6 separate regions of the Mus musculus genome follow, and regions 2, 3, 4, 5 and 6 are each reported to be linked to region 1. Evidence: microRNA targets listed by miRTarBase, many of them from high-throughput screens and not tested one by one. Region 1 holds a microRNA gene; each other region holds the end of a gene's coding sequence.
Evidence for each region. Region 1 holds the annotated microRNA mmu-miR-9-5p (UCUUUGGUUAUCUAGCUGUAUGA, at 3,172-3,194, opposite strand). A microRNA usually pairs through its seed, bases 2 to 8, with sites in the 3' UTR of a target mRNA and lowers its output. Matches are read on the target gene's strand: a 7mer-m8 pairs with bases 2 to 8, a 7mer-A1 pairs with bases 2 to 7 and ends in A, and an 8mer does both.

Region 2: the mRNA of Abcf1 is a reported target of mmu-miR-9-5p. Seed matches in the 3' UTR shown: 8mer at 958-965.
Region 3: the mRNA of Scn3b is a reported target of mmu-miR-9-5p. The part of its 3' UTR that is shown has no 7-base or 8-base seed match.
Region 4: the mRNA of Rad9b is a reported target of mmu-miR-9-5p. Seed matches in the 3' UTR shown: 7mer-A1 at 2,770-2,776.
Region 5: miRTarBase lists Rasd2 as a target of mmu-miR-9-5p. Seed matches in the 3' UTR shown: 7mer-m8 at 1,952-1,958.
Region 6: the mRNA of Smyd1 is a reported target of mmu-miR-9-5p. The part of its 3' UTR that is shown has no 7-base or 8-base seed match.

Annotation. Positions count from the first base shown.
Region 1 is chr3:88,213,734-88,218,806 of GRCm38, reverse strand. It overlaps Mir9-1 (microRNA 9-1), which reads right to left and starts at 3,209; the gene lies at 3,121-3,209. The region is part of intron 2 of Gm3764 (predicted gene 3764); the gene reads right to left. Mir3093 (microRNA 3093) reads right to left here and starts at 3,636; the gene lies at 3,550-3,636. Gm25641 (predicted gene, 25641) reads left to right here and starts at 3,137; the gene lies at 3,137-3,194.
Region 2 is chr17:35,952,820-35,957,892 of GRCm38, reverse strand. Abcf1 (ATP-binding cassette, sub-family F (GCN20), member 1) reads left to right here. Exons shown (of 23, transcript NM_013854.1): 21 at 1-51; 22 at 142-214; 23 at 304-1,074. The coding sequence ends at 470. It also overlaps the pseudogene Gm8801. Among named protein-coding and RNA genes, the nearest start is that of Mir877, 5.5 kb to the left of the region's middle.
Region 3 is chr9:40,287,765-40,292,837 of GRCm38, forward strand. It overlaps Scn3b (sodium channel, voltage-gated, type III, beta), which reads left to right. Exons shown (of 7, transcript NM_001083917.1): 6 at 610-689; 7 at 780-3,854. The coding sequence ends at 673. Among named protein-coding and RNA genes, the nearest start is that of Scn3b, 21 kb to the left of the region's middle.
Region 4 is chr5:122,321,075-122,326,147 of GRCm38, forward strand. It overlaps Rad9b (RAD9 checkpoint clamp component B), which reads right to left. Exons shown (of 13, transcript NM_001382853.1): 11 at 4,807-4,905; 12 at 4,277-4,390; 13 at 2,149-3,150. The coding sequence ends at 4,322. Pptc7 (PTC7 protein phosphatase homolog) reads left to right here. Exons shown (of 6, transcript NM_177242.4): 6 at 1-3,207. Among named protein-coding and RNA genes, the nearest start is that of Rad9b, 31 kb to the right of the region's middle.
Region 5 is chr8:75,221,503-75,226,575 of GRCm38, forward strand. It overlaps Rasd2 (RASD family, member 2), which reads left to right. Exons shown (of 3, transcript NM_029182.1): 3 at 217-2,611. The coding sequence ends at 746. Among named protein-coding and RNA genes, the nearest start is that of Rasd2, 10 kb to the left of the region's middle.
Region 6 is chr6:71,211,390-71,216,462 of GRCm38, forward strand. It overlaps Smyd1 (SET and MYND domain containing 1), which reads right to left. Exons shown (of 10, transcript NM_001160127.1): 10 at 2,551-4,520. The coding sequence ends at 4,362. Among named protein-coding and RNA genes, the nearest start is that of Fabp1, 14 kb to the left of the region's middle.

The DNA.
Region 1 (5,073 bases):
TTGGATTCATGCAAAACTGGAGTGAAATATTTGTAAGAAAGTTGCCTTCAGCTGCGTATACTGAGAGCCCTGCAAAAGGACATAGGGCAAGGGCTTGAAAAACGTGGGTCACAGAAACAGCTGAGGGGCTGGAAAGATGCTCAGTGGTTAAGAACACTGGCTGTACTGATCCAGTTTTCAATTCTCAACATCTACAAACATCCGTGACCCCAGTTCTAGGGCGATCCAGCATCCTCTTCTTGCCTTGGAGGGCATTACTATATGGTGCATAGACATATGCAGGCAAAACACACCCGCAGAGACAGACATCTTTGAAACCAGATGTGAAATTGGTTTCCAGTAAGTCTGGTGTGTGTAGCAGACTGAAGAATAGAAATGGCAGTTTTTAAACAAAGGAGACTTCTCAAGTGGACAAAACATGAACTCAGACCAAAGGAGCTCTCCTACACAGTTTAGCTGGGTAGGGAGGGTGCTATATGATATAAAGAGGGGAAGTTCAGCACTTGGGAGGCTGAAGCAGGAGAATTGTCATCAGTTCCACGGAAGCCTGGGCAACACTTTCTAAAAAAAAAAAAGGAGAGATCCATGGAGATATCTCTGGATAAAGGTCTTTGCCACCAAACCTGACATTTGATTTCCATCTCCTGAACCCACAGGGTTAAAGGAGTGAACAGGCTCTCTCATAATTTGTCCTCTGACTTACAAATATATAACCACAGACACAAAATAAATAATTAAAACAAAGGAGAGGAGGGGGAGGAGGACGGGGAGGAGGAGGAGGAGGAGGAGGAGGAGGAGGAGGAGGAGGAGGAGGAGACTTTGGTATCACTGTGATGTCTGCATTTAATAAACCCCAGCTCTTTTCTGTGGTTTTGCCTGGCCACATTCTAGCATCCCCAGTGTCCCAGCTGAGTTTCCTAGCACAGCACACATCCTTATACCAATCCACACAGGCTGCCTCCCTCTCTTCACCCTTAGGCACATGGACTTCACAAAGGGCACCTGCTGCCCTGCTGAGTACCGTACACATACACAGTCAGTGTGCATCTAAAGAAGACATGAACCCTTAGCAGCCTAACCTCCTAGCCTCTATTCCTCCTTTTCCTAAAGCCTTCTACTCTCTTTTGAAGAGCCTGTGATCCAATGTGCTCATGGGAAACAATAATATAAAACTACTGTGGTTAGCAACTGAGACTCTAAGTGTTCCTGGGAATATGTGGTGTGTGTGTGTGTGTGTGTGTGTGTGTGTGTGTGTGTGTGTGTGTGTGTTTAGGGGGACTCTAGGATGCCCAAGAACTTGCTGTGTAGACAAGGATGACTTTGAATTCTTGATCCTTCGTCCTCTACTTTGCAACTGCTCAGATTATAGGCCTGTGCTATGATAGAGGGCTGTGTAGCCCTGGCTGTCCTGGAATTTACAGTGAAGACACTATACAGGAAACATTAAAGATGGTAATGATAAGGAAGCTTATTTTATTGATGCCCCTCCTCTGCCCATGCAAATTCCCAATAACAGAGAGGCTTCCCTTCTTTCTACTTTCCCAGTTGGCTCCCTTGGGGTGGGGAGTGTCACTTTCTCCAAGACAGAGTAAATGGAAGGAGCTTTGAGTGTCAAGCCAGTGAGTAATGTCAGCTGCTCACTTGTGCCTGTGTAACATGGGATCACATGGCATCTCTCAAGCAGCGGAAAAAGAAAACAGGCTGTGGCCAGACCATTAGTTCCAGCCTAGACCCAGCCTCTTTTCTCCTTGACTTAAGCTTCATCCCCACCACCCCTACCAAAACAAAACAAATTCCAAGCTTCTGGAATTTAAGAGGCCACTCGACTCTCCCTCCCCTAACTGCTAAAGAAGACACACACAGGCAATAGATTCCCTGAAGTCCCAGAATTTGAATTTGGATTCTCTAATATTTCCCCCCATGTAATACAAAATTGAATCATTATCTTCTAACTGTAAAATCAGGTCCCGGGAGGAAATTTTAAATTTATAAGAACCAGCGGAGTCTGGGTGATGACATTTTGCCCAGTTTTCTGCCTCTTATTAGTCGGTACAGCCCAGGTCTCCAAGTGCCAGCTGGTCAAGTTCGGCTGAGGGCCATGAGAGCAGAGGGGATTCCTAGCTCTGGCCATGTTTGTTAGACCATCTTCTCAGCTGTAGAAACCCTCTTTCACTAAAATATTTAGGTCAGGCAAGATAAATAGATTCTTTTTACAGGAGCCCAAATTAATCTCTCTAATTCTTTGCGTTCTCTGGGCAGCACAGCTACACATTCCTTTGTGTTTGAGCTCCACAGAGCTCCTTGAGGCCATTTGTTCCTTTGGGACACGATTTCCAAGAGTGAGGTTAGGACCGAAAGGTGGGATGCTCTAAAGCCCCCCACCCCAACTCTACACCTTTAGCCACTAATGACAAAGCAGCCAGAGAGAGTTCAGTTAGACTTAGCTCTGGTCCTGAAGGCCAAAGTGAAAGCAAAGAACCTGCGCCCCAGGGTCCCAGAATTCCTGTGGGGTAAAAAGGTCTCTGGCCACTCTGGCCCTTGCCCTTGTGGTTACTTTGTTTCTGCATCGCCATTCTCCCTAATAAGTTCGATGTGTGTGTTGGTTTTTAAGCCTTCCCCGCTCCTAGACCTGTTCCCACCTGGGCAATCTTGACTCCCAGTAAAGCTGAAGGGCTTCAGGGAAACCACCAAAGCAAAAACCAGCTTTCTAGAGACATCCTACGAACCTCGAACTCCACCAGTCGCTTCGAAGAGCCAGAGGGAAGCTGCTCACACCAGCCACCCGCTCCCGGGATGCGTCGAGACCGGGAGAGGGATGCTTGCACTTTCCCCCCAACCCTTCAGCCAAGGGCTCTGTCTCTCCCGGGAGCGGCTTCTCCGGACTGAGGCCCAGACTGCTCCATTTTGACCAGGCCTCCAGAGGCGACCCCAGAGCGGCTTCTTGCTTTCTTCCCAGGTGAGCAGGTTGCGGGTGGGGATCGCGAGGTGGCTCGGGCTGAGCAACCTTTGAAGGCGACGAGTCCCCCTCCCCCCAGCCCTCCAGCCTCCAGGCACGCCTGGCACGGCTCTCCCTCCTGCAGCTCGGCCACTACCAGCGTTCCAGGCCCTCTGCGCAGTGTATGGGGTTATTTTTACTTTCGGTTATCTAGCTTTATGAAGACTCCACACCACTCATACAGCTAGATAACCAAAGATAACAACCAACCCCGCCTCCTGGCCGCCTCCTCCTCTTCCACGCAGCCTCCCGGCCACCGCCTGGACCTCCGTAGTCTCGAGTCGCTCGACGGCGGATGGGGGACGCGCGTGGTGTGGAGGCGAAAAGATGGGATCCAGGACCTCACGCACTATCACGACGAGACCTCAGAAAGGCGAGGAAAAGATGCTACCGCCGACGGTTCTGAGGTCGGGAATCTAGGCTGAAACCAAGCGGCCCCAAGCCTGACCGCCCATTTCCCACTCCCTCCTCCGTGCAGAAGCAGGGTTCCGCCGGTGCTAGTGGAAAGGCTCCAGGGCCTTCGTGCCATCCGGGAAGACCGCAGAAGCCTAGGCCGAGGCCTCCCCAACCTCCCACGGTGTCCACACCCTTCTCTGGAAGGTCGAGTGTGAGCTCCGCGGGGTGCGGCAGAGCCGAGCTCGCAGAGCTGCTCCGAGCTACCGACTGCAGGGGAGCGGCCGCGAAGCCCCGGACGGGAACCCCAGCACTGGGGAACCCCGAGGCCCAGAGGGAAGCCTGTGGCTGGCGGCGGGGTGGAGGGTGATCTAGAGACTCCCCAGCGACTCTCCCAAGGGCAAAGACCCCACCCAGAGAGAATCGGGCGAGCAGTCAGGACGTGGGGCTGCGGGTTAGGGCAAAGGGTGACCAGGCAGGTGCTCCGAGCCCTGGACCTACGGAACCGCGCGGGAGCCGGTTTTGTGCAAAACGCAGCCGAAATCATTCAGAGATGTGAAATATGCCACTGGGGGTCTGAGTGAGAGATGCCCTTAGTGGCTGGAGGGGGCTATCTGGACTGAACCCACTGGAAGGAGGTCCAGGGACCGTGCAGAGGGTGTAGAGCTCCGTGGTCGCAGGTGGCGGACGCGCGCGCTGGACTCTGAGGCGCTTTCCCCACCTCGTGCCCCACGCGGGTCAGGCCACTTACATCAAACCCAGGATGCCCAGTGGTAGTGTCCTGCGCGGTCTTCAGGCGCGTTCCTACCCAGGCAGCGCCACGGACGTGGGTCAAGGATGCCGGGGCTTGCCAGGTAATGGGGCCGAGCGAGAGCCAGCAGGGTGGAGCAGGGTCTCGAGTCCCAGCTCTCTCCTCAGCCTTGGCCGCTGCTCTGGCGGGGGCGCTCTCAGGCTCCGGACTTTTCATTCATCCCTTCACACTCCTTCCTCAGGTCAGCCCCTGATTGGCTATACCTGGTCTGACGTCACTGTCTCGTTTCTTCCCCCCCTCCCCCCCAGCCTTTCCATGCCCGACCCCCTCCCTCCCCAGGCCAGTCCAAGACGTGCAATTGGGGTGCCCCTCCCCCAGAGAATGGGATCCAATGTCTTTATGCCAATCCTTAGTCTTTTGCTGCCTCATCTACAACCCGCCTGCCACGTCTATAATCCATTGCCAATTGCGGTTCTGATGGCCACCTTCGCTCTTCTTGTCGATCTTACATTTTCCTTTTGGGCTCTACGGTACATTGCACCAAGACCAGCACGCAAAAATAGAAAATAAATAGGGCAAAATTCCCTCAAAGAGAAGAGATCTGTAATCTCAGCACCAGGAGGTTGAGGCAGGGATGCGGACTGGAGACTCTATCTCTGACCCCCTCCCACCTCACCCCACCGTTAGAGTCTTTTTGAGTTCTAATTCCTCCCAAACTGTGATCCTAATATTTAGGAGAGGCAAGGGTCTCTTTTGTTCAAGGTTTTCAACTCAAACCCTCACTGAAGGGAAGACTGTGCAGTTTGAGTCTCCTGCTATGAGACAATGGGCGAGCAAAGGGGGCCCTCTTTTCTGCATTTCAGGGGAATGTTCCTTGACCCTATCTGCAGATAACCACAGAATCCTAGCTGCTTTTGAGACTCAGAATTTGGCC
Region 2 (5,073 bases), not on the chromosome of region 1:
CGAGTTGTGTTTGCGGAGCTGGCCTGTCGGGAGCCTGATGTCCTCATCTTGGTGAGTGGGCAATCAGAGAAGGGTTTTCGGGTCAGAGCTGGAAATGCAGCTGCTGCAGTGCTCTGCCATAGGCCTCTTCCTTCTCCACAGGATGAACCAACCAATAACTTGGACATAGAGTCCATCGATGCCCTGGGGGAGGCCATCAACGACTACAAGGGGGGTAAGTGCTCAGACAGAGGCAGCTGGAGCTGCTGGGCCTCTTCCTCTTCCACTCCTGACTCCCTCTCTTGATTTGTTCTTCCTCCAAAGCTGTGATCGTTGTCAGCCACGATGCGCGCCTCATCACAGAAACCAACTGCCAGTTGTGGGTGGTGGAGGAGCAGGGTGTCAGTCAGATCGACGGCGACTTTGATGACTACAAGCGAGAGGTGTTGGAGGCCCTGGGTGAGGTCATGGTCAACCGTCCTCGGGATTGAGCTCCCTCCTGGAAGCTGCTGCAACCAGCTCCTATGGCTGGAGTCTAGGCCGTCTCCCCTCATCCACCTAGAAGCCTGCTGCAACCAGCTCCTACGGCTGGAGTCTAGGCCGTCTCCCCTCATCCACCTAGAAGCCTGCCATGGCTGCTGCCAGCTGCAGCAGCCACATAGGCCATGAAGGTGGCGTGTTGCCTTGATGTGTGTGAGAGCATCCATCCGTGTGGATTGTGTCCTTCTCAATGAAGGACTGTGTTCCCCTTGAGGTAACTGAGCTGGCTTGCCCACACTGGCTCAGTCTCTTCAGAAAGAGGTGACCTTTGCTGTGCTGGGTTCCCCTCAGGCCTAGTTAAGGTGGCCTCTTGTCTCAAGACCTTTGCCACTCAGAACTGACCCTGGTCCCTCCTTTTGGAAGGGTACTACTGACTCACTGACACAAACAGCCAGAACCTCAGGGCTGGAGGCAAGTGTCTGAGACCTGGACTGTTTCACCAAAGATCTGGTGCCTGTGGTCCCTTGTCTCGTGGGGACTTGAGGGCAGGAAAGGAGAACTCTAGAACTGAAGTCTCCTTTACAGGGGAGGAAATAAAGTAGTGGGGTGCTGACACCATGTGCCTGTGGGGTGCTTCCTGGGCTTTTTGTGTCCCTCCCCAGCCAGTGCTTGTCCTCCCTGTGCCCTCATGGTTGGGAAAGACACCAGACCAACCCTGTGAATGAAATGGCACTCCACCCTTTGCTCGGGAACCCAGTCTGCTGATGTAAGATCTACAGAGCATGCTGGGATAGAGTTACACCTATAACTCACACCCTGGAGGTGTAGAGAGGGTTTTAATGGCTCTAGTGAGTTTGAGGCAAGCCTTTAGAAAATAGAGCCCTTCCATAGATCTGGTACCAGAGATATACATAGAGTAGATCACTACACAGCTGGCAGAGTCAACTCATCCACTCAGACACTGGGTGGAAATCATCCCTCACAGAGAAAAAGCATGAAGATGGGACCAGAGAGAAGTTTCTACTGTAGATGTCACCTAAAGCCCCTAGTTACAGTGGGGTCCTGAAGGGGACAGCATGGTGGGCTTTGTTACAGAAGGGGACAGCATGGCGGGCTTTGTTACAGAAGGGGACAGCATGGTGGCTCTGTTACAGAACTGAGGTGATAGAACCAAAGGAGACAAGGGCAAGATGGGACAGACAGAAACTGTTAGGTATGACTTATTGAGAAAAAGAATAGTATGTCATTTCCAAGGTGAATATAGATTCAGTTAGGAAAAATTATTTTCCAGCCAAAGTAAATAACATGGACTTTGAAGCAGATTCGTATCAAAAGTAGGGTACAGTGAGCAGGCTGTTGAGTGTGCCCCTCTCTGAAGGGATATGACAACTGACCACCATGGAGCCCTCACCAGGTGGATGGGCAAACCAATGTTCAACATTGTACACTTGACGTTTGCACACCCTTGTGATGAGAATGCAGAAATTATGCAGTGTTAATTGGTGGATAACAAGAGCATGCCTGTGAAGCCTGGTGGTTTAGTGTCAGCACTCTGAAGGCAGAAGCAGGCAAATCTCTGAGTTCAAAACCAGCCCAGCCTACACATTGAGTTCCAAAACAGCTAAGGCTGCTCAGAGAAACCCTGTCTTAAAAAACAAGCAAACTTGGATGTGAAGGGTGGGTGTGGACAGTCTAACGAAGCCCAACTAGCTTGGAACTTGCTAAACACTTGCCGTTCTCCACCAGTTTCCCCCAGTGAACACACTGTGTATGTAGAGTTACATGTTCAAACACAGATGGGAACTTGTCCCTCAAAAAGAAAAACAAGAATGGAACACAGAAGAGAAAAAGCTAGAGTATGGTTCACCCAGAGTCTGGAAAAAAATGTAATTTCATTAAGAGTCATACCTTTGATTCATAAGTTCATTTTATTTTTTTAAAGATTCATTTATTATATCTAAGTATATTGTAGCTATCTTCAGACACTACAGAAGAGGGAGTCAGATCTCATTACAGATGGTTGTGAGCTACTATGTGGTTGCTGGGATTTGAACTCCAGACCTTCGGAAGAGCAGTCCGGTGCTCTTACCCACTGAACCATCTCACCAGCCCCATAAGTTCATTTTAAAGTTGAGATAGTCTAAGGGAGCCTGGCTACCCTGGGACTTCAAGTTTGGTCTTCAGCTCACAGATCTATCTGCCTGGGTGCAGAGGCCCTGCCCCGACTCAGCTTTACAAACAGAATTTTAAACACCTGCAGACAACTAAATATTTCCTATAAATGAGCACCATGGGGATTTTGATTTTGCAAAGTAGGCATTCTGTAGACCAGGCTAGGCTCGGTTGATTACGCCTAGCCAGCCTTGATCATGTAGGCCCATTGCAGCACTCGAAGGTGGTTCTCACAAGTGGTTCCAGGTCCAGCTCATAGCTGTCTGTAAGTACAGTTCCAGGGGTACACTTTCATACACGCGGACACACACACACTCTTAAACATAAAGCACATCTTTTTTTTCCCCAGACAGTTTTTCTGTGTGTCCCTGCTTATCCTGGAACTCGCTCAGGCTGGCCTCAGCCCCAGAGATCCACCTGCCCTGCCTTCTTCGTGCTGGGATTAAATGCGTGTGTACCACCACCACCTGACAAAACAGACACAAAGGGGGTGAGAGGACATGCGTGTACACAGTCACATTCATACACGTTTTTTAATATATATATTTTTTTGAAAGATTTATATATAATAACACTGTAGCTGTCTTCAGACACTCCAGAAGAGGGCATCAGATCTCATTACAGATGATTGTGAGCCACCATGCATTGCTGGGATTTGAACTCAGGAGCTTCAGAAGAGCAGTCAGTGCTCTTACCCACTGAACCATCTCTCCAGCCCGTTCTACACATTTTTGAAAATCAAAATTTTATGAGCTGAAGGGATAGCACAGTGGTAGAGTCCTTTCTGCTCTTCCTGAAGATCTGCGTTCTCAGCGCCTATGTTGGGTGCTCAAACTTGCCTGTAGCTCCAGCTTCAGGGGATCCAAGGATACCAGCCCTCGAGCACAGAACTCCACAAGGATACACATAGATAAAAATATTTTGTCTTAGTCATTGTTCTAATGTGTAGTGACAGGTTATTTTGGAGTTTTGGTTTCATTAAAAACATAGGGCCCGTCGTGGTGGCGCACGCCTTTAATCCCAGCACTTGGGAGGCAGAGGCAGGTAGATTTCTGAGTTCCAGGCCAGCCTAGTCTACAAAGTGAGTTCCAGGACAGCCAGGGCTACAAAGAGAAACCCTGTCTCAAAAAACCAAATAAGGCTGGAGAGATGGCTCAAAGTTAAAGAGCACTCCCTGCTCTTCCCAAGGTCCTGAGTTCAATTCTCAGAACCACATGGTGACTCACAACCATCTATAATGAAATCTGGTTCACTCTTCTGGCCTACAGGAAGAACGCTGTATACAAAATAAATTATATATATAGTTTTCTGCTTTAATAACAGGTGTAGGGATATGGGGCTGCTTCATAGCAGCTGACTAGGGTTTGCCTCCTCTAATGGGCAGGCGCACAATTTTGACAGCTGTAGATAGTTTTTTTGATTGTGTGACAATTGGAGATCTGGAAACGTTACAGAGGGCATATAAGTGGGAGTACCCTGATGTGCGAGTTGTTGGTTGGTTGGTTGTTGAGGTTTGTTGATAGTGGCGTGCAAAGAACTCTGCCTCCTATGTGTGGGGATTAGAGAGGAGTACCACTCCCACACCCTAACATTTTTATTCTGAGTGGAAGAGATTTAGATTTTATGTGTATGGTAGAAACCAGGTCTGCCAGCCCAGGGATGGCACCACCAATGGGCTGGCAATCCCTGGTTTAGACAATGCCCTACAGATGATCTCATAGAGGCATTGTCTCAACTGAGGCTTCCCTCTCTCTCTGGTGACTCTAACTTGTGTCAAAGTAACATAAAAGTAGCCAGCACACAACGTCCTGAGAACTGGAGTTCTCACTTGAGGTCTGGGAATTGAACCCCAGGCCTCTGCAACTGCTCCAACCAGCAGAGCCACCAAGCAGGCTCTACAGCCCTAGCTTTTCTTTTACTAAAAGAAGTGAAACACACCAGGGGTTAAATGAGCTGCTTCTCTTTCCACTGTTTATTATTAATGTACAAAATATACAAAACCAAAAGAAAAACTCCTCGAATCCATTGTGGTTCTAACCCAAGACCCTTCACAAAACCAACCCACTGTTTTCATAGAAAACAACTGATGCCAAGACAAGGGGAGGAGACGACTGGGAAGGGCCCCTACTGCTGAGTCTGCCCAGGAAGCCTCAGACAGGGCTCCTCATGGGGTAAGGAAGGAGCAGGCCCACTCCCAAAGGCAGTGCATGTAGTGCTTCAGGCCCGCTGTACCCGGCTAAAGTTAATGAAAGCTGGTCTCACGGAGTCTCTAATACCGCTGTAGGCAGGAGTGGCCCAACACTACAGGATGCCCCTCTGCCAGATAACAACTTCCTTGGATACAGATGTGAACATGCCATCACTGAACCTAGCAGACCCACAATGACCTGGGAAGTAACAGTTGCAGTCTTTCTTGAGAAAGGACTCAACAGTGACTGGCCC
Region 3 (5,073 bases), not on the chromosome of region 1:
ATATTATGTGTAAAATAGAGAAAATTATCTTCTTGTAGTTTAATAAGAATTCATATTTAAAGCATCATGTTTTATAGAAAAAAATTCTTAAATACCAGAAGTACAAATCAAAGATGGAAAAAAGTTAATTTTCACTACATTATATGTAAACCATCAATTGTTCTTGATAAGAAGCTATAGGAAAACTTATTAGCAACAGATTTGGACAAATATTCCAAATATGAAATAATAAAAAAATCAAACATTTCAGAAAAGCAACAAGAAAACAAATCATGAGACTATAGAAGGAGAAAACGAGACAGCTTACAAACCTATGGAGATGTTCTTAACCTCACCAGTAAGGGAAGATGAAAATTAAAGCAACTTTGAAATACAAATTCATACCCATTCAGCTTAGTCAAAATACAGTCTTCATCCTGAAGATGATGAAAAGAGTCAGATATTGCTGCTGGGGATATTACTCTATTTGCTGAAGCTAATTGTACGTTTGTCTTGGGAAATACAGAGGCTTTCTATACAGAGCCTTGTTCCTGGGTCACATGCCTTTCCTACACACTCACCAATGACTACTAAGGCACCGCTTCTTTCCCTCTCCCATGCCCTCTGCAGGTCTGACTACCTTGCTATCCCTTCAGAGAACAAGGAGAACTCTGTGGTACCCGTGGAGGAATAAAGTGGTGTGACTTGAGGTGATGTACAGGCATTTGGGAGGGTAAGGTGGATGTGGGTGGCATTTGGCATCTACAATGGAAGTGACTTTCAATTTGGTCCTTTTGTAGCAATCTCGTCCTTCGGGTACTCTACGTTAATGGTCACATCACAATGCTCTCTATTATATCAAACCCTTCAGAAGCTGAATCACTTTGGCCTGAATATTGAGCAAACCAAACCCCTTGCTCATGATAGCAAAGGCACAATAATTCTCTCGTTCCCTGTTTCCTCCGTATGTGTTTGGAGAGGGTTGCCCTGGACATTCTCAATGAGTTCTTCTATTGTTGGTGGGTGAGCTGAGTGCTGAGCAACTGGCTATCCCCAGTTCAGCAATGCCAGCAACATCAGGAAGTGCCCCAGGTGTCCCAACACATCCATCTTTCTATTCACCAACCACCCACCCAACTGTGAGATTTTTACCTGACTTCCGGACTCTATCAGAACTCCTATACATCTTGACCTTGCCTGAACTGAAGAGCCAACATCTCTCCATGGACTAAACCTCACTCTATCCTTGCTTCCAATCAAGTAGCTCCCAACTCAACTAGAGTTGTCCCCTGTGCTCCAAATGACTTTAGATAAGTACTGGAGAGTAGTAGTCTCTGTGTCCTGTCTGCAATTGGGTTGTCCTTCACTGCAGCAAAAGGATGAATGTATATTGGAAGGAAGCCCTGATTAGTTTGTTTAAAAGCCAAAGTGTGGCATTCACTTTGATTCATTGAAGTCATTCTTTTCCTGCCTCTTAGAACACAAGAGAGCAGCATGCCCGCCCCTAAACTTTCCAGAGACATCTTCTGTGTGCACTGGAATACATTCTGGAGCTCAGTGTTTCGAGGCTATGTCTCCATAATCCCAAAGGCCTGGAACAAACCCAGAACTTCCAAGAAGCCAAGGAAGCATCCAGGACGATTTCAGTAGGTTTTGAAAGCGATATAACACTCCCGAGATTGGAAACACGGATGAGTGAATTTTCTGGGTTGAAATGCCTCACTTCTTCATTTCTCAGTGTCTGTGGATCAGTATTAGTCCTCGTTTTACAGGAGGCATCTGAGACTCACACAAGGCTGAACAGGATATTGAGGGGATTAAACTGGCCGAGAGATGAGTTTCATGCCTCCACTCTTACACTCCCTAAGCTGAAAGATGTTTTTGAGGACTCTTAACAATCAGCAGGGCAGAAGCATGGCATTTGTCCAGCAGAGGCTACAGGTGACATGAGACAGACTTTAGGATTTCACACAAAGATTTGTGAATCTGAAGCATCCTCCAAGAGACATGGCACCTGAGGGCAATAGCTATATGGCAAAAAATGTTTTTAGTCTGAAATGGACAATGAACAAAGAGACAAAGATAGGTGTGTAGCTTCTAAATACCTCACCTGTAGATGTCATGTTTGGGTATTGGTGTTTGTAAAGTCCCCCACCCCTACCCTCATCCCCACCCAAGAGAGCAGGGAACAAGTGACAAGATTCTTAGTCAATATCTCTTTTTTAATGACTGTTCTAAGTGCAATATTCTTTAGCCCCTACAGATAGCAAGGGCAGGAGGCCTTATGGTATATAAAAAGATGCAAGTGAGACTCAGTAAGAGAGTTGTCCTCACTCTGAGGAGCTCTATAAGAAAGACCCTTCTCCACCCCCATCGGGCTTTGTATGGCAAACTCCCTTTTCACCCACACCGTTTCCTTCTTTGTGGATGCCAGACATCCGCCTTGGGACTCCCATCCCACTCTTTTTTATCTGGTTTGTTTGTACATGGGGGTTTATCCAGAAACACAATTGCATTTGCTTATGGGAGATCATGACTATGACCTACAAGGTATGGCACTCACCAGCCAACTTAAAATCTTCACCATCTCCATCTTCTTCCCATCCTTCTACTTTGAATCCCAGACTAGACGTGCGCAGCTCTGGAGCCTTTCCTGGTGTGCTACTGCTTACTAAAGGGCTTAGAAGAGTTCTCAAGGGCTATAATCCTCTAGAAACCCCACTGTTTGTCTTGGTGCTGGGTATTTGCTGTGACTGATTCTCAATAATTTACTGAAGGTCAAACTAAGCTGAGTCTAATTTCCCCTTTATTACTGTCTAACAGCTGTGAACTTGGTTACTCGGTTGGGCCTGAAAGCATCTTGCCCTGTTGACTTGGAGTGTCAGCTAGGTGTTGGATCAAGCCCCAGTCCCTAAGTGGAAATACTCAGTGCTTGCTATCTCAGGCTTTCCTTTCAATTTGTTTACACATTATTCTTTGGTTCCTCCACTCTCAATTAACTGCACACCCATGCTTTCTTTTGAGTTTCTGGGTTTGCTCTAGACATCAAAATAGAATTGCAAGTAGAAAGGGAAGTTTTCAGAGCAAGATTATGCTGAGAAAGATAGCAGTGGGCTTAAAAGTGGAAAGGGCTAAGGTGATAGCCCAATAGGTAAAGTGCTTGCCACGCCAGCGGGAGAGTCTCCGTATGATCTCTAGAATCCATGTGAACAGCCAGACATACATTATGGCACACATTGGTCATCCCAGACCTGGGGAGGCAGAGACAGGAAGATCTGAGACTCGCTAACCAGGTCACCAGGCCAAACTTACTTACTTGGCAAGCTCCAGGAGAGTGAGAGACCCTGTCTCCAAAAACAAAACCAAAAAACCAACAAGGTGGATAGTGCCTGAGGAATGACACCCAAGGTTGACTTCTGGCCTCCACATATACATGCACACAAGTTAAGGCCCATAAGCATACTTACATAAAGATGCACACGCTTGTGTCTGTGTATGTATACATGTGCGTGCACACACACACACACACACACACACAGAGACAGAGAGAGACAGAGAGAGAGACAGAGACCTTCCTCTCACTTGTTTTATAAATGAGAAAGCCCTGGTTCTGTGAATTCACTCAGTCAATGCAAATGTATGTAACCAGGACCTTGGTGTGCCTACGCATCATTCTGATCATCTACTCACATTGTTCAACACTCTCTGTGTCGAGCACTAGGTTAGGCTCTAGTTAGACCCCTTGGTTTTAGGTCTGTAAAAGTGTGCAAGCATGTGTGTGTGTGCGCGCACATGTGTGTGTGTACACTAGTGCACAAGCACATGGTTCCAATAAAGTCTCTCTGTTCATGTCAATAAAGCGTCTCTGAAGACCACTTGCTCTGGGTTTGCTATGCTTTACAACCTGCGGCTGCTGTCCCCTCTGGCTCCCATCCAGCATGCAATCTTTCCAACTTCCCGGACCCAGGAAACTAACAGTGGAGAATAAAAAGTATTCAAAAGTCTAAAGCTAAACGTGCTAGATGAGGGATCCAGCCTTTCGGTTCTTCCTTTTCTCCTCTACACAAACACAAAAGAACACGAAGAAATGCTCTCTTGTCTAACCAGGTGGGGAGATTAGGAAAGATCTAATGTAGGGAAGGCTCAGGTGACTTTCACTTTAGGGAGAATAAGGGCAAAGCTGTTTTCCAGTATCTAGCTTCCAAAAAGGGCCAAGATCCTCTAAAGGGAAAAATAGTAACAAGAGACAATGAGGTTTTTGTCCTTCACAATTGTTGTGTATTTGGGGGAAGGATCGAGATAAGGGTTTCTCTGTGTAACCTGGCAGTCCTGGAACTTACTCTGTATGCCAGGCTAGCCTTGAACTCAGAGATCTACTTGCCTCTCAAGTGCTGGGCTTAAAGATATGCACCATCACACCCATCTCCACCAGCTTAATGTTAACTAAGATTAAAAATCTGGCTTGAAAGATGGTGGTTAACGGTGCTTGTGGCACTTCCAGAAGACCCCAGTTTAGTTCCCCGTACCCATGTCACATGGCTCCCAACCACCTGTAACTCCAGCTCCAGTAGATCTGATATCCTTTTTTTTGGCCAGTGAAGGCACCTATACTCACAGGCACACAGACACGACCATATACACACATAATTTAAAATCTGTTTAAAATATTTAAAGATTAGAACTATTAAGAACTATTGTAGCACAACTGCGGCTACCACTTTAAGAAATATACACGCATTTCTTTATCAAAGACTTTCTCCATAAACACTGAGATGACAGGAGGAATTATTGTGTGCATGACAGATAAAGTCCTCCCTCTCTAAGACTCTTGAAACATCAAAGAAGGAATAGGAAGACCATAGGAGCAGGAAGACGTGGAGGTGTGCCATGAAATGCTGTCTGGCCATTGATCACAACGGCACAGAAGCTGTTTCAGACCTGAACAAGACTGCGCCTTTCAGTCCACCATGGATGTGGTAGGAGCTCATGAGGCCCTACTCTTGTCTGAGGACCTACTGGGGAGAGGCATTTTCTTCAGTGATGTAGCCACTAAGAAGTTGTTTGTGCTTTAGTAAACAACTCTTCTACCCATAG
Region 4 (5,073 bases), not on the chromosome of region 1:
CCACTGAGAGAAAAAGCGAGGTGACCTCTCCCTTCTCCTGGAGGTTTTCAAAGTCTTTTACTTTTCAAAAGCAGTTGAAGTTTTGAAAAGAAGTAATGTTGGTAAAGTGAACTCAAAATGTCAGTGTGTTAAAGGGATGTTAACATTCAACAAGTAGTAAATAGCGGCACCTCGGCCAAAAAACACGCGGATCATCCCAGGAGAAGCCCTGTGTCCCCCAGGCGCAGGCTCTGCGAGGACTGCTGGGGCTTTGTGTTTTCTGTTTGCCAGGAGCCCACAGTCCTGCTCTATCCTGTGCTGGGTCATGACATCCCAACCCCAGCAGCGGACGGTTTTGGTCACAAATTGGAAGAAAATTTTTGTTCTATGGATGCAGATATTTTGTGCTTTTTAAAAGATGCTTAATTGTGCCCCTGTGACTGCAGCTGTGGCAGTCTGTTGATTTGTCCAGGTCACAGGCTAGAGGCCTGGCCCACAGGAGAGGGACAGGGGAAGGAGACTCCTTACCAAAATCTAGTAATGGAAATACCACGCAAAATTTCAGAACTCCTCAAAGCCTGGGAATCAAATGCTGTAGCTGAAGTCGTCCGTGCTGCCTGTAAGATGCCACGGGCCTTCCAGGGCTAGAGTGTGCAGCTGCAGCTTGGGATGGGGTTGGCTGTGGACAGCCTGCTCCTTCCCTCAGGAGCCTCCCACCCTTAGAGCATGCCCCACCTGCGCTGTGTCCTCAAGGTGATGGTGTGGTGGCTGCAGCTCCCAGAGCCCACAGGAAAGCTAGTGGTGACCTGACATTCACAGTGACCGCAGCTGAGTGTGGGGCCCTGAGTCCAGCTTAATGTTTACAGTTCCAATAGCCATTTGCAGTAGGTAACGTTCCTTCTCAGATTTCCCCATTACCTGCGAGCGCAAACTTATTTTTAAGGTTTATGTACAATTGACTGCTGTAAAGATATATATATATTTTTGGGTCCGTTCTTTTCCTTCATTAACTTGGTGGTAGAAAAGCCGTATATACTTAGAAACCCTTAAGTTAAAGCCGTGTTTCTGTGCAAGTCAGATGACGCTGGTGTGAAGATGGTGTGAGCAGCCGTGCAGCCCTTCCTCTGCAGGAGACACTGGCTCCCTGGTTACTGCATTGAACTTGTGTTTGAGGTTACCTCAACTTGTTTTTAAAAGGTTTTGTCTGTCTGTGCGTTTGTATATTTGAGTAGCTGTCTCTGTTTTATTTAAACTGTTTACCATGTACCATGTACATGTCAGTGCTCTCAGTGCATCATGCTTGTAACAGGCATTCATTCATGAGAATGAGTTACTCATTTGTAAGCTCTTCAGTAATTTATCTACTATTCCTAAATTGGCATAATGTTAGATTCCTATTTTGAATCACCTTTAATTACATGTCAGAATGCCTTAACTCCCCTAACCTGACAACACTGAGTTAGTTCTCTGGTATGGAGGGAGACTGGATAAGGAGATGTCGCACTCTGTTGATCCTGGGGCGTGAGGGGCACGTGGTGGGTATTTATTTTGCACAAACTCTTTGCAGTGTCTGTGTTTAAAACAGTAAGGTTGCATCCAGATGGGGTGTGTGACTCTAGGACTGAGGACTTCAGCTCTTCTGTGTGGTTTGTAATTAGTTCTTGGTCAGAGGTGTTGTAGCCTTACAATCTGGATATATTTTGCATTAATTTTCCAATGCCGACATTTAATTCCTGCTAAGAGCAGAGCTGGTCAAGTCACTGGCTTTTTTCTGCTCTCATTTAGCCCATCAACCAATGTTTGTAAAAGTAGATTGGTGTGTTTTATACAACTTACTTTTAGTCAACTCACTTTTCTGAGCAGTGATTGTAAGAAACAGACAGGCAGTATGGCTGTTCTAGTAAACTGAAAACCACGAGGCAGACGTCAGGATTCAGTGACAGTTCCTCAGGCCTGGCGTGTGGACTGGTGACATCGTATATTCCATTTGCTTCTCCCTGTCCTTTTTGTTACACACTTAATTTTATAACTGTCGAGAGGTCAGGCAGAGCAAACGCTGCTCACACTCACTGAGGCCAGGGGCTCCATCACACACCCCTCGCCAGGTCTGATCTGGAACCTGGTGTGCGCGTGAGTTGTATTTTAAATCAAGCAATGTAAGCACTCATATTTGTCTCACAGAGTGAACTTTTATAACAAAAGAGAAAATTTGGGTTTTAATTTACAAATGGCAAATTATTTATCCCTCTGGATGCACCAAAGACCAGTAAAGTTTATAGCTTTTCCATCTATATTTATAAAGCAATACTGTATTATAAAAAAATCACTATTTTTATCACATGCTTGAAATTTTTATTTTGTTCTGTTTTAAAAATGTGCACTCTAAACATATCAGAACCTTATTTCTTCCTATGAACTTAAGCTGCCTGCGCACAAAAAGTATAAAATTATCAAGTGGAGATGAAGTAGCTAGAGTCTTACAAACAGAGAGAAGTGAGGGGAACAAGTCATGTATCCCGAGTTATCTGTGTGCTTGGCTACTCACTCACAGAGAATTCATTCCAGGTATGTGTCTGGGTTGGGCTGGGTCTGGAGAGACTGGGTATAAGCTCCAAGGCAGGAGAGTGCCCTCCACCGCTGCCGCTGCCGCTGCCTTTGTTCTGGATAGAGTAGCCAGCAGATGGAAACAGGGCAGGAGTGGTTTGGAGGCGGCTGGCGGGATTGGCGAGATTGGCTGAAGCTGTGCGTGTCTGAGTAGGTTCATGGCTCTGTGTCACTGTACAGCAGCTCTCTTTGGCAAAGTTGTAACACTCACTTTCTTGGAAATTGTCACAGTTTTACATTTAAAAAAATTTGCAATAGCAAAAAAAAAAAAAAAAAAAAAAAGAAAAGAAAAACATAAAACAACATAATATGAAACAGAAGACATTTGGATTCTATTTCTTTCAAAAAAGTAAATTTATCACAAAATTGAACTTCTCAATAAAGCAGTGTCCATGTCAAAACATAACTGTTAGTAGGTAGTCTGTGGCAACGATGAGTAAATGACGAAGCAAGTCTGAGTCTGTGTGTACTGATGCGCTGCCTTTTCTGTTGAGACTATCATCGTGCGTCCTACCAGAGGCAATGACCCGAATCGATGTTGGAAATATAACTTATGCAGGAATAGTTCTGTAAATACATTTAAATAAACTGTAAAGATATTTAATAAATATAGTATTTATACTATTTGCCACTCCTTTGGTTTGAATGGACAGGAACTGAGACACCCACCCTCAGCTCCCAGATTCTTGGTCTGCCTGACAGTGAGCCAGCACCTCGGAGCTGTGTCTGTGGTGCTTTACTGTCTGAGCATGGACCGGAATGGCTAGTTATCAACAGCTACTTACCTTCCTCAGAAATTCACCAAAACCGACTGACAATTGAGTGTAAAATAGAGGGTTTTGTAGCTGGGGTGTTGTGCCTTCCAGACAGTACTGAGTGAAGAAGCTACCAAAAACACTGCTGGGGGGGAGGAGGTCGGTAGCAGAGCACTATGCTAGGATGTGCAAGGCCCCGGATTCCATCCCAGCACCACACACGCACACCTTGTGCTCCACTGGAAGTGCAAAGCTCTGGGTGCAGCTAGTGTCGTAGTGTCACTGTCTTGGGCAGACTGGTGCTGCAGCCAGGCTGCTGCTGATCTAGGTGCTTGGGAGCTGCATCAGTGTGTGAGCCCAGGCCTTGTCCTCGGCAGGGAGACCTACAGAGTAGCTCTGCAGCCATCTGTGCCCGGTAAGACTGTCTGAAATCCAGTTATCAGTGTAAACATGAGACTCCTAAATCTTCAGCCTACGACAGAGGACAAGGCTGAGATAGGTGGGCATTGCCAGCTTCCACTAAAAGCTTCTTGAAAGCCCATTTTCATTCACAGAGGAACATTTTCGGATGGAGTTGGGTTTTTATTAGATTCCCGTGGGTAGCTGTGACTCACTTAGCAGCTACAGAACCCAGTCCCTCTGGTTTCAGCTAGAACGCTGCTCTCACTTCTGAAGCCGCTGACGCACGTGGGCAGCACTGAGTCCTGCCGGGTTGATGCTTCCTTCCAGGTTGGTGCTTTTCCAAGGACTCAGCAAGCACACGTTCCTGAGCGGCTCCTTTTGTTGCCTGTAACCGACTGTACACAGGTTTGGTGAGAGCGTCCTACACCGTGAGCTGTTACGTAAGTGCATTTGGTGCCAGGTTTGCACGTAATCTACACGTAAGCAGCTAGACCTGAGAGGAGCAGTGGGCAGGCATTTGTCCCCCGCCACCTTACCTTGTTCCTCTCCAGGCTGAGCTCTGGCTGCTGTGTGCAGATGACTCACACCGACTTCACTGCATGCTTTCTGCCTCCCACTGCAGAGCGCACAGGAACCAGAGCAGCTGAGGGCTGGGAAATAAAATTGTATCATATATAAAATGACCACAAAATGAAAAGTTAACTGTTTCTTTATTCACAACCTTTTCTCTACTCTGAACAAAACCTGTCAGGCCATCACATACACTGGAATGCCTGCTGTCTGCAGTCGGGCACAGAAGCCCCACCTCGCCCCATGCTGAGGAAAGTCTGCTTTAGGGACCAGCACAGGACGTGTCAAGGCTGCAGCAGAGTAAACAGTGGCATCTAAGCCCTGATGGCTCATTCCTATGCTGCCAGCTCTGTCCCCCGAGTAGCACACGGATTTTAGTGACACTGATAGTCTGGGGCATCCTGGGACAGTCTGCTCCATTTCCACTTGGCCTTCAGGCAGCCAAGTGCCCAGCGCGGCTATCACTGAGCGTTAGCATGGGTGCTCAGCCACTCACGTCCTCCTCACTGTCGCTTGCTACTGCCAGGCTGTCCAAGGGGTGGCCGGCATACTCTTGCTGTTCACAAGATACAGCTCCAAAGAACATGCAGGAAAACTAGAAAGGAAAACAAAAGAGTGTCGCTTATTCTCAAGACAAAGCCTGCACACTGAAGGTTCCAGCTGGTGGTGCTTTTAAGAATGTGGCCATGTGTTGCCACTGTCTTTGATGGTGATGAATCCTGGACACCATTACCTGCTGAACACATCTAGGGCCAAAGCTCTT
Region 5 (5,073 bases), not on the chromosome of region 1:
GACCATATCTGAGTCCACCTGGGTGTGCCTCACTACTCACAACCCCTGCTGAACCCTGGCTCCCTCTTTTGGGAAGTGGGGACAGTGATAGCAGATGCCTGGAGGAGCCTCCGGGTCAGGGTTTGCAGGCTTCCTAGGTGGCAGCTGATGGGACCTGTGCTGAGTGGGACACCAGGCCATCCTGGCCCTTGTTTACTTGCCTCATCCCCTTCACAGGAGATGTCTTCATCCTGGTGTTCAGCCTGGATAGCCGGGAGTCCTTTGATGAGGTCAAGCGCCTCCAGAAACAGATCCTGGAGGTCAAGTCCTGCCTGAAGAATAAAACCAAGGAGGCAGCAGAGCTGCCCATGGTGATCTGTGGGAACAAGAATGACCACAGTGAGCTGTGCCGCCAGGTCCCTGCCATGGAGGCTGAGCTGCTGGTGTCTGGTGATGAAAACTGCGCCTACTTCGAGGTGTCAGCCAAGAAGAACACTAATGTGAATGAGATGTTCTATGTGCTGTTCAGCATGGCCAAGCTGCCCCATGAGATGAGCCCTGCACTGCACCATAAGATCTCCGTGCAGTACGGCGATGCTTTTCACCCCCGGCCCTTCTGCATGCGTCGCACTAAGGTCGCAGGTGCCTATGGCATGGTCTCACCCTTTGCCCGACGCCCCAGTGTCAACAGTGACCTCAAGTACATCAAGGCCAAGGTCCTACGGGAGGGCCAGGCCCGAGAGAGGGACAAGTGTAGCATCCAGTGAGAGGCAGGGACATCGGGGAGGGGGCTTGGGCAGTGCCTTAAGGGAGGTGGCTGAGGATTCCCACTGCGCACATCCCACAGAGGGCCCTAGGTGTGTACCCTGTGCCCATTCTCTTGTTTCCTGGACACCTCCTGTGAGCCGTGAGTGTGGTTCCTTTGTGGGAGGACGGAGACATGTCTAGGGACATGACAGCACTCATGCCGAGACAAGCTTTCCGTGGGAGGGATGCAAAAAGGCCAGGAGTCCTGCATCAAAGCAAGATGCTCAGTACAAGTCACAGGATGAGAACATCTTAGCCAGATGCCCCAGCCAGGTTCCCTGGTGGCCTCTGCTCCCTCTGTTCAGACCAGCTTGGTCTCAGTGTCCCTGGAGAAACCACCATCCTGGGTCTTCAGCTCCTGCCGTCTGGCCCAGCTGTGTACACTGCCCCCCAATTTAGCCCCTGGGGCCATCATGACCTTGAGTGGAGGGGGGAGAGAGAAAGGGAGAGAGAGAGAGAGAGAGAGAGAGAGAGAGAGAGAGAGAGAGAGAGAGAGAGAGAGAGAGAGAGAGAGAGAGAGAGAGACCGGTGTCCCCCAGATCACTGCCTTTTGGCTCCACTCCCAGGCTCCTCCATACGATATTTCTCTTTGTTTTGAAGTGTCTTTCCTGTTCTGTTTGCAGTAGACATGAAGTCCTTGTACTGTAAGAGGCCAATGCTTTGTCTTTGACCGGGCTTCCCAATTCAAATCCATTGCTTTGGCCGGGGTCTCCCTCCCTGCTCCCAGGCAGGCTGTGTTCTGCCCAGTGTCCATCGGCCTACAAAGAGCCCACAGTGCCACAGTCACAGCAGTAATCTCCTGCCCTCTGGAGAGGATGACTGAGCTTTGAGAGAGTGATTCTAACCCCCTCCGCACTCCTAACTAGTTCAGGACAGAGCTCTGACTAGATGCAGCTTTCTTCTGCTTTAGTTCCTTAAACATCTGCCAAGCACCTACCTGATACTGGTCCCTTGTGTGCTAGGCAACAGAGAGCGAGGGGTCCTGTGTGTCCCCAGCTCCGGCCTCTGCCCTCCCATGGTGCCCTTTCTGCGCACACAGCTGTTGGAGGAAGTGGAGCAGTTGAGAGCCAGAGCCGAGTCCAGGAAAGGTTGGAAGGACATATTGCAGGACTTACCCTAGTGTTCAGGCTATGCTAGGTACACAGGAGTGGGGGTGACCCTGAAAACCAAAGGTCCTGTTCACCACCTCTTAATGCATCTGTGCTTTAGTCTTATTAGTACTGCAGCTGGCCCATTTGAGATGACTCTGGGTAAAGACACCTGCTGCCAAGCTTTCAACCTGAGTTTGGTCCCGGGGTTCCATGTGGTGGAAGGAGAGAAGTCATCCATTGACCTCCACACATCCATCATGGTACCCCTAGCGCGCCCCCCCCCCCCCATGAATTATTGAAGCTGATGATTATCAGAAACCACAGCAATCTAATAGTGCATTCTCTCAAGGCCCAGGTCACTCCCTGCAAGCTGGGTCGGCCATGGGCCTTCCATACACACCACGTCATACCCTGTCTCCTTGGAGCTCCCAGTAGCCGGGATTTGGATCATGTTACATATGCCTTCCTCAGAGCAATCACTGAGGCTATCTGTGGATACTGTGCACATTGTCACCCTTGCTCTGCACACCAGGCCCAGCCCAGACTCCATACACACACCTGCTGCTCAGCACAATTGCTTCAGCACCTGCTTCTGTCCTACAATGACTCCAGCCCCAGTCCTGAGTATACCAGGTACTTGTCCAGGCAAGTCTATGGCCTGGTCCATCCGGTCAAGCTCTACTGCCTGGACCTCTGTGTACACTATCAATTAAAGTTGGTTTGTTAGCTGTGCCTTTGATGCTTACTTCCTGTATTTCCCTGGGAGGGGCCTCTGTCTGGGTCAAGACCTCCTTGCATACAACAGTTGTTTTTGAGTTCAAAATTTGGAGGATGAAACCCAAATAAGGAGATTGTGCCTGGCCTGCCAGAGTGTGTGCCCTGAGTGGTTATTAGCAGCACTGTCTGCAATGATCATTGATTATCAAGACTGGCCGAGGAGTCAGATACTGTGACATGTGTCTGTTGTCCAGTTGTGGCAGGAGGATTGCTACAGTGACCAGCCTGGTAATATGAGTCTGCTTTCTTTACATAATGGAAAAGATGGGATTGCTCCACATCTCTACTGGGAGGGGCCAGAGATGTTGCTCACACTTTTCAAGACACAGGACGGAAAATCCATAGGGATGGTAGGCGGTGCCATCTAGAAGGCCAGCTTGGGGCAGGACCAGCATCTGTGAATGTGTGACAACAGGCAGCTTTCTGAATGGCAAGAACAGTCAATCTTTCCAAGTTGAGAAGGGATGGAATGTGGTTGGGGACAGCACCTGGAGGCAGGGATGCTGGACGCATCATGAATGACCCCATAAATGATGCTTAATGTGCCTGGGTGCCTCTCTGGGCAAAGAGAAAGGCAGGAGGCTGCTGCTAACCCACCTCAAGCACCCTCCTGTCCATTTCCATGATACACCGTTGTGGCCCATGTTTTCTCAACTGGCACAGAACTCAACTGCTTGTCCAAGAGGCATAACTGACATGTGAATGGTGTTCTGGGACCGTGGTGTGTCTGGGAGAAAGGTTTTCATCCTGGCAGGTGGCTTTGAGCACAGCAGGTTGCCAGGGCCTGCAGATGGAGATCAGAGAATAAGACAAAGGACCCACAGGGCCAGGAGCCCAGCTAGGGGGCCACAATCCCTATAGGGTCACTTGCAAGCAAAGTAGGCTAGACTGTATTGGGGTGTGAAGAGCACCTTTCTACATGTCTGTTCTCTAGCACTTGGCCTCACATGGCATGGGTCTGAGTGTGGCACAAGCCTCTTGGGCACTTTCTCCATCATGTCTTTTGTAGAATGAAATATGGAAGTGATCTCTCCCTGTTGTTACAGTCACTGTCTTGGCTACATGGGAAAGTGTTCTCCCCAGTGTGTCCCCTCAGAGCTTAGCCTACTGCCACCATCGCATAGCTTCCATGCGGGACCTTGAGTAAATAACATCCCAGCAAACACCATCCACATACAGGAGGTAGGCAGGCATCTGGGTCAGATGAGCACAACACAAATCAGTGTAGCCCAGAACCTGCTAGCTCCATGCCACCTCTTCCTTCCCCTCTCCCTTGCTCCATGCTCCCTCCTTCCTCTTCTCTCTCTACTCCTCTCTGCTCCCACAGTTCTGGCACTAGAATGAGGTTAACAGGGGTGGGGTGAGGGGATGGGGGGGGAGGGGGAGATTTCCCCTGCAGACATCTCCACCTAGGACAGGGTAGAATGAGCTGTTAGGCTGCCCTTCCTGGAGAGACTGAGGCTGGCCTGAGAACCTCATGCCAATCTCCTGGCCTCTAAAATGAGCCCTGAGAGTCAAGTTTCAGAGAGGCCCATACTCTGAACATGGAGTACTTGTCTATCCTCTCTCCTTGAGCCCGTCACTCAGGAGAACATCTTCAGCCTGCGTCATGGCCTGGTGGAGGCTGATTTGAGCCTGCCAGCAGCTTAACAACAAAGGCTACTGGGAGTTGGGAAGGCAGGGATCTGACTTCTGCTGAAGGCCTGCTCTTCACTGAGCCTATGCTGGCCTCTGGCTTGTGTTCTCTCATTGGATCTTCTTGGCAAAGCATCATATAAGGAATGAACGTCTTTCTGATAGTTGAACAGATGCAGAGAGGTAGTGTTGCTTGCTTGATATTGCACAGCAAGTAACCAGGAAAACTGGGTGCATATCACCTGGTTTCAAAGCATTTTATTCTCCAGGCTTTTGTAACTGGGTGGCTGAGGGTCAGCTCTCTGGAGGGGAATTGGCAGGTGTCAGCAGAGAGAGGTGATCCACCCCACCTGGCCAGGCAGAGCCCAGGCTTCTTTCATTTCTAGGTTGTTCCATGTCCAGGACCTTGTCATCATTTGTAAGGCAGACACCACATTGAGCTTCCGCTAGAGGGTCAGGGAAGAGAGTAGAGGAGTCGTATTCCTGCATGCCACAAGTGTCCACTGGCTCTGGCTGGAAAGTTCTTTGCCAAAAGCCCCAAACCTCTGATGACATTCATTGTGGATAAGGAAAGAGCCGTAGGTGGCCTGCCATTGCCCAGTGCTATAGACCCAGACCCAGACCCAGGACACTGTATACTGTACATGGTCTGAGTCCCAACAAGACCTACTCAGCTCCACAATCAGACAGTAGACCCTGTTCCCTATGGCTTCTTGGTACATATGTGGGAATGTATGCCACAGCCCATGAGTGTAGGGTCAGAGAACAAAACACCTTTTTGTTT
Region 6 (5,073 bases), not on the chromosome of region 1:
AAAGCAGAGATGACCCATAGGCTTACATACAATATTGAACGATGTTCACCACTTTACTTTCAGACTTGAAGTTATTTTTTTTAACTTTTTCCATTTTTTATTAGGTATTTTCTTCATTTACATTTCAAATGCTACCCTGAAATTCCCCTATCCCCTCCCCCCACCCTGATCCCCTACCCACCCACTCCCACTTCTTGGCCCTGTTGTTCCCCTGTACTGGGGCATAGTGCAATTTCTTGTCTTGTGTCATTTGAAAGGAGCCATGAAATGATTTGCAAAGCAAATGCTTTTCTGGAATTCCTGAGGGTGTGTATGTGTCAGGTGGCCGAAAGGGTGTGTATAACTGGTTTTGTTATCATCTTGACACAAACTTTTAGTGACTTAGGAAGAAGAAACCTTAACTGAAGAACTGTCTCCATGGATTGGACCGGATGCCCATCTGTGGGGAACTGTGTTGGCTGATGATTGGAAGTGCACAGCCCACAGTGGGTAGCACAATCCCTAGGCAGGAGAGTCTGTGTTGTATAAGAAAGCAGGCTGAGCACAAGCCAGAGAGAGCAAGCAGTGTTTCCTCCAGAACCTCTGCTTCAGTTCCTGCTTCCAGGGTCCAGCCTTGAGTCCCTGCCCGGACTTCCTTCAGTGATTGACAGCTACTTAGACGCTGTAAGCTGAAGCAAACCCTTTCCTTCCTTTTGTCGTGGTGTTTGGCACAGCAACAGAGCAGGACTGGAAGGGTGTGATATTTGGAGCATTGACAGAAACTGTTATCACCAAAGCAACCAAGCTGAGTGTCATGCAGGGGAAGAGATTCGCTTTGTCAAGCTGACAACCAAGCTCTCTGACTTTGACGCGAGGGGAAATAATTCGAAGGCTTTTCAGCAAAATTTCTAGGGATCAGATAGAATTTCCCCAGAATGAGCCAAACAGTGGTGGAACTTGCCTGTAATCCCAGCATTATGAAGGCCGAGACAGGCAGATCTCTGAGGCCAAGGCCAGCCTGGTCTACAGAGCAAATTCCAGGACAGCCAGGGCTACACAGAGAAACCCTGTCTCAAAAAAACAAAACAAACAAAAAACAAAAAACAAACAAACAAAAAAAAAAAACAAAACAAAACCAAAAAACAAAACCAAACATTTCCCAAAATGTTTCCTACCAGGATCGTGCACTGAGAGTAGCTCTGGGGTGAGGAGCTTTTGCCCTGGGAGATGCTGAACTTGGATTTTGTGTAGGTGCCCAGAGAACTTAGTGCCTTAACAAACAGCTGTTGATGGGCTCTGAGATTTTCCCTTGGTCCATCCTATCTTCAGTGGCCACCCCCAACACACCTGCAAACACACACACCAAGCAGCATGTGAGCGCACACACATACTAATTCCACAGCCTTTTACGTAGGCCATGGACATTTTCCCAACAGGGGCACTCATCCTATGAGACCACTTTCCTGGCTAATGCACATTCTTAAGTATGTCCACAAAATAGCTGTTACCGTTTTTTCTCCTTGTTTTTGATCTTTTTTTTTTTTTCTGTTCTTTTTCCATAATTGACAGCAATAGGGTAAAGAAGGTGATTTGAAAGTGTAAAGGAAGGCTGGAGAGATGGCTCAGCAGTTGAGAGCACTGACTACTCTTCTAGAGGTCCTGAGTTCAATTCCCAGCAACCACATGGTGGCTCACAACCATCTGTAATGAGATCTGATGCCCTCTTCTGGTGTGTCTGAAGACAGTACAGTGTACTCAGATGTTCATTGCAGTGAGTCATCGGTCTGGTTCCAGGCCTCTGGCTCCCATCAACCCTGCATCCTCACCAGCACTCCTCTCAGATATCCTGGTGCTGCCCTGAATTATGGAGATCCTGCAATGAAAATTTCCAAGTAAAAATGTGTGGACAAAAGGATAAATTGTGGGACACACTGTGACACACTACAGCTTCCATAATGAGATGCTTTTGTTTTGTTTTATATTTTTATTATTTTATTTTATTCCTGTCTTTTGTTTTCTTTTAGGGGAAGGTTGTAAGGTGGAGGGCGGATAGGAAGGGACTGGAAAATGAGTGGGATTGGGGTGCACGACGTGAAACTTACAACTCTCTCCTCCCTGACCCTTTTTTGGGTAAGACGTATTTATTGTATGTGTGTGAGTATACTGTCTACCACATACTTGCACACATCGTAGTGGCTCCCACTGTGGGCAGGCAGGCCTCTGGGTTTCCTCCCCAACCCACACTGCATGGCATGGTGGCTGCAGGTGGGCCTTCTGGGTACTTTGTCTTTTAGTCATTTGATATTTATCTGTTTATTTTACATGTTAATTATGTACTTGGGGAAGGGGATGTTCAGGTTCCATGTGCACTTGTGGAGGCCAGGACAACTTGCAGGCATATGTTCTCTCCTCCCACTCCACAGGATCTGGGGTTGAACTCAGGTTGTCAGACTTAGTAGCAAGCACACTCACCCACACTGAACCATCTCACTGGTCCTGGATCAGTTTTTACATACACGCTAAGAATCCACAATTTTCTAGTGTTCTACATCAGAAAAGAATCACAGGAGGTCCGAGAGCATCCAAGGGAATTTATTTTGCAAGCAGGTAAAGTGAAAATGGGCATACACGAGAGGACACAGAGAGAGAACAGAGCATCTGCTGTGAATCTTTTAACTTTGGAGTTTGAACTTGACCAGGAGACGGCAGGTACTTAATGATGAATTTACACTCTGCAAATAAAGTGCTTTGTAGGAAAATCCTTCTGGCCATGGTCAAGGCCTCACCATAGTTCTCTTCCTCAGATCTTTAAAGAGGCAGTCCCTAATAGAGTCACCAGGCAATGACAGATGTCTGATTAGTGCTCTGGTTCACCAAAATGGGGTGGATGCAGATGGTGAGGGGGGTGCGTGGAACTCTTAGGCTTGTTTACTGTGGCTCTCAGGGTTTGTGAGTAGTCTCCAGTTAAGCCACAACTCCTTTAACATTTTAAGGATCCACTCTGTCATCCCCCCCCCCCCCCCATTGTAAGTTTATACTGAGCATGGTCTTCACTGTCAGTCTTCATAAAGCCTTCTAGAGAAGAACAAATCCTCAAAAAGAACCAAGGGTCAGTGCTAATATTCTACAAAGAGGTGCCCGCATCATAGGCCTCAGAGGCTGGGCAGGGCTCAAGGGCAGGTAGGGTACTGTTCTGGGATGAAAGGCTGGGGATGGAGAAACTAACATTTTAGGCAGAAATAAATTGCAGTTTAGTGGGAATCATGTGACTTCAAGATGTTAGAGTTCTGGGAGATGTCAGTGGTAGCACAAGGTTTCGTAGAAGTTTTGGTGACACCCTCAACCAAAAGAATTTACTTCATGATTTCCCATCATGTTGGTGTGAAAGTTGGGGTTCCAGAAACTAAAAGACACTTCTTGGGCCTTCATTTCTCAGCTGGAAGTCAGCCTCCAAGTAAATGAGAGCAAACTGGCCACTCTCCAATGAGATCCAGGCCAGGTGAACTGCCTTACGAAAGGGGAGAAGCCCCCAGAGCACAGACAGGATAAAGAAATTAAGCAGAGGAACTAACAGTCACTCAATACAATGAGTAGAGCCTCATTGGGCCAATGATGAAGCCTAGGCTGAGGCAGACTTCTCAGTCTTGGAAGCCCCTACACACCACTTCTGATGGGTCCATCACTGGCAGGCATGCACAGTCAGCTTTACAAGTCAATGGCCAGGAAAAACTCAGCTTTTCTTCAACATCATAAAGAGCTACAGGCATGGTGGGTAGGACCAGGGAGGGAAAAATTCCTTCTATGTGTGTTCTAGAGTTATTTTAAAGTTATGCTTCAAGCTCTGATTAGGAGTAAAGACCACAGGATCCCAAGATCCCTGCATCTTTCTAGGCATCACTGAGTATATCTCAAAGGGTCAAACACTTTTGGCCTGAGGATTCAGGACATCACCCACCCCAGTCTGCAAAACCTAAATATTCATAACTGTAGATGAGACCAGCAGCCCCAGAGATGCCTACACAGATACACAAGCAGTCACCTGGGATTCTAGGTACCTGCCACTCTTAGCTCAGGTGTTACCCCCACCCGATACACACACAAACTCACCTCCCCTAAACAAACCCCTCTGCATAGAGCTCACCATGGCATTTACTATTATGCTGTGCCTTGTTTGTTTACATTTTTCTTTCTAGCACAATTATATTTGGGGCTCCCTTATTAAATAGATGGTGGGATCTAGCACCTGACACATGTAGGAAGAGTTGGTCTGAAATGAAAGAGAACTAAACTGAATTGAATTGAACCAAAACGACAGTGGAGGACACAGAGTAGTCATTTCCTCAGCTCCCCAGCCACAGCCCCCCCACCCTCCAACAAGGTCCTCACTGCTTCTTATGGAACAGAGCGGGGGCTGGTTCATTGCTAGGCTCAGCCATGACCTGCATGGGCTGGTTGTTCAGGGCAGCCTCTCGCATCTTGTGATACATGAATTCGTTTTGGCGGAACATACGCAGCTCCATCTCTGTCTGCATCCGCATGGCCTGTGGGACATAGATAGACACAGCACCGATAATAACAAGTCCTCAAGACACAGTTCTGACACATCTTTGGATAAATGACCCCTGGTCAGTATTATTTAACTCTATCCCTTCAAAAACGGGGGGCGGCGGGGGGTTTACAATATTGTGAATTGATGGTGTAGCAGTATGCCTAGCATCATAGAGAGAGGAAGTTGGACCCATGAGACAGTAGCCAAATGGTTGTTTTCAGTAGAAAATGCTTCCTCTCACTATCAGCTGAGAACCTGGATCTGAACCCTGGATCCTGAACTCTGTGGTTGTAGGACCTCAGCGAAGCGCCTTGATCACTTCAGCCCCCTGTTTCACCATTCCAAAGACAGTAAGATTTCTCTGTACTTTACAGCAGGTTGGAAAGATTATCGGGAACAAGACGCAACTAAGTTCTTGTTCTCCCACATATCCACTCAGGGAATATTCAGAGGGAGCTAGATGCTCAGAGACTCAGGACACTATGGTAAGACTGACAAGAGATCCTGCCAAGATTTGACAATATTATATATATAATTGACAAGAT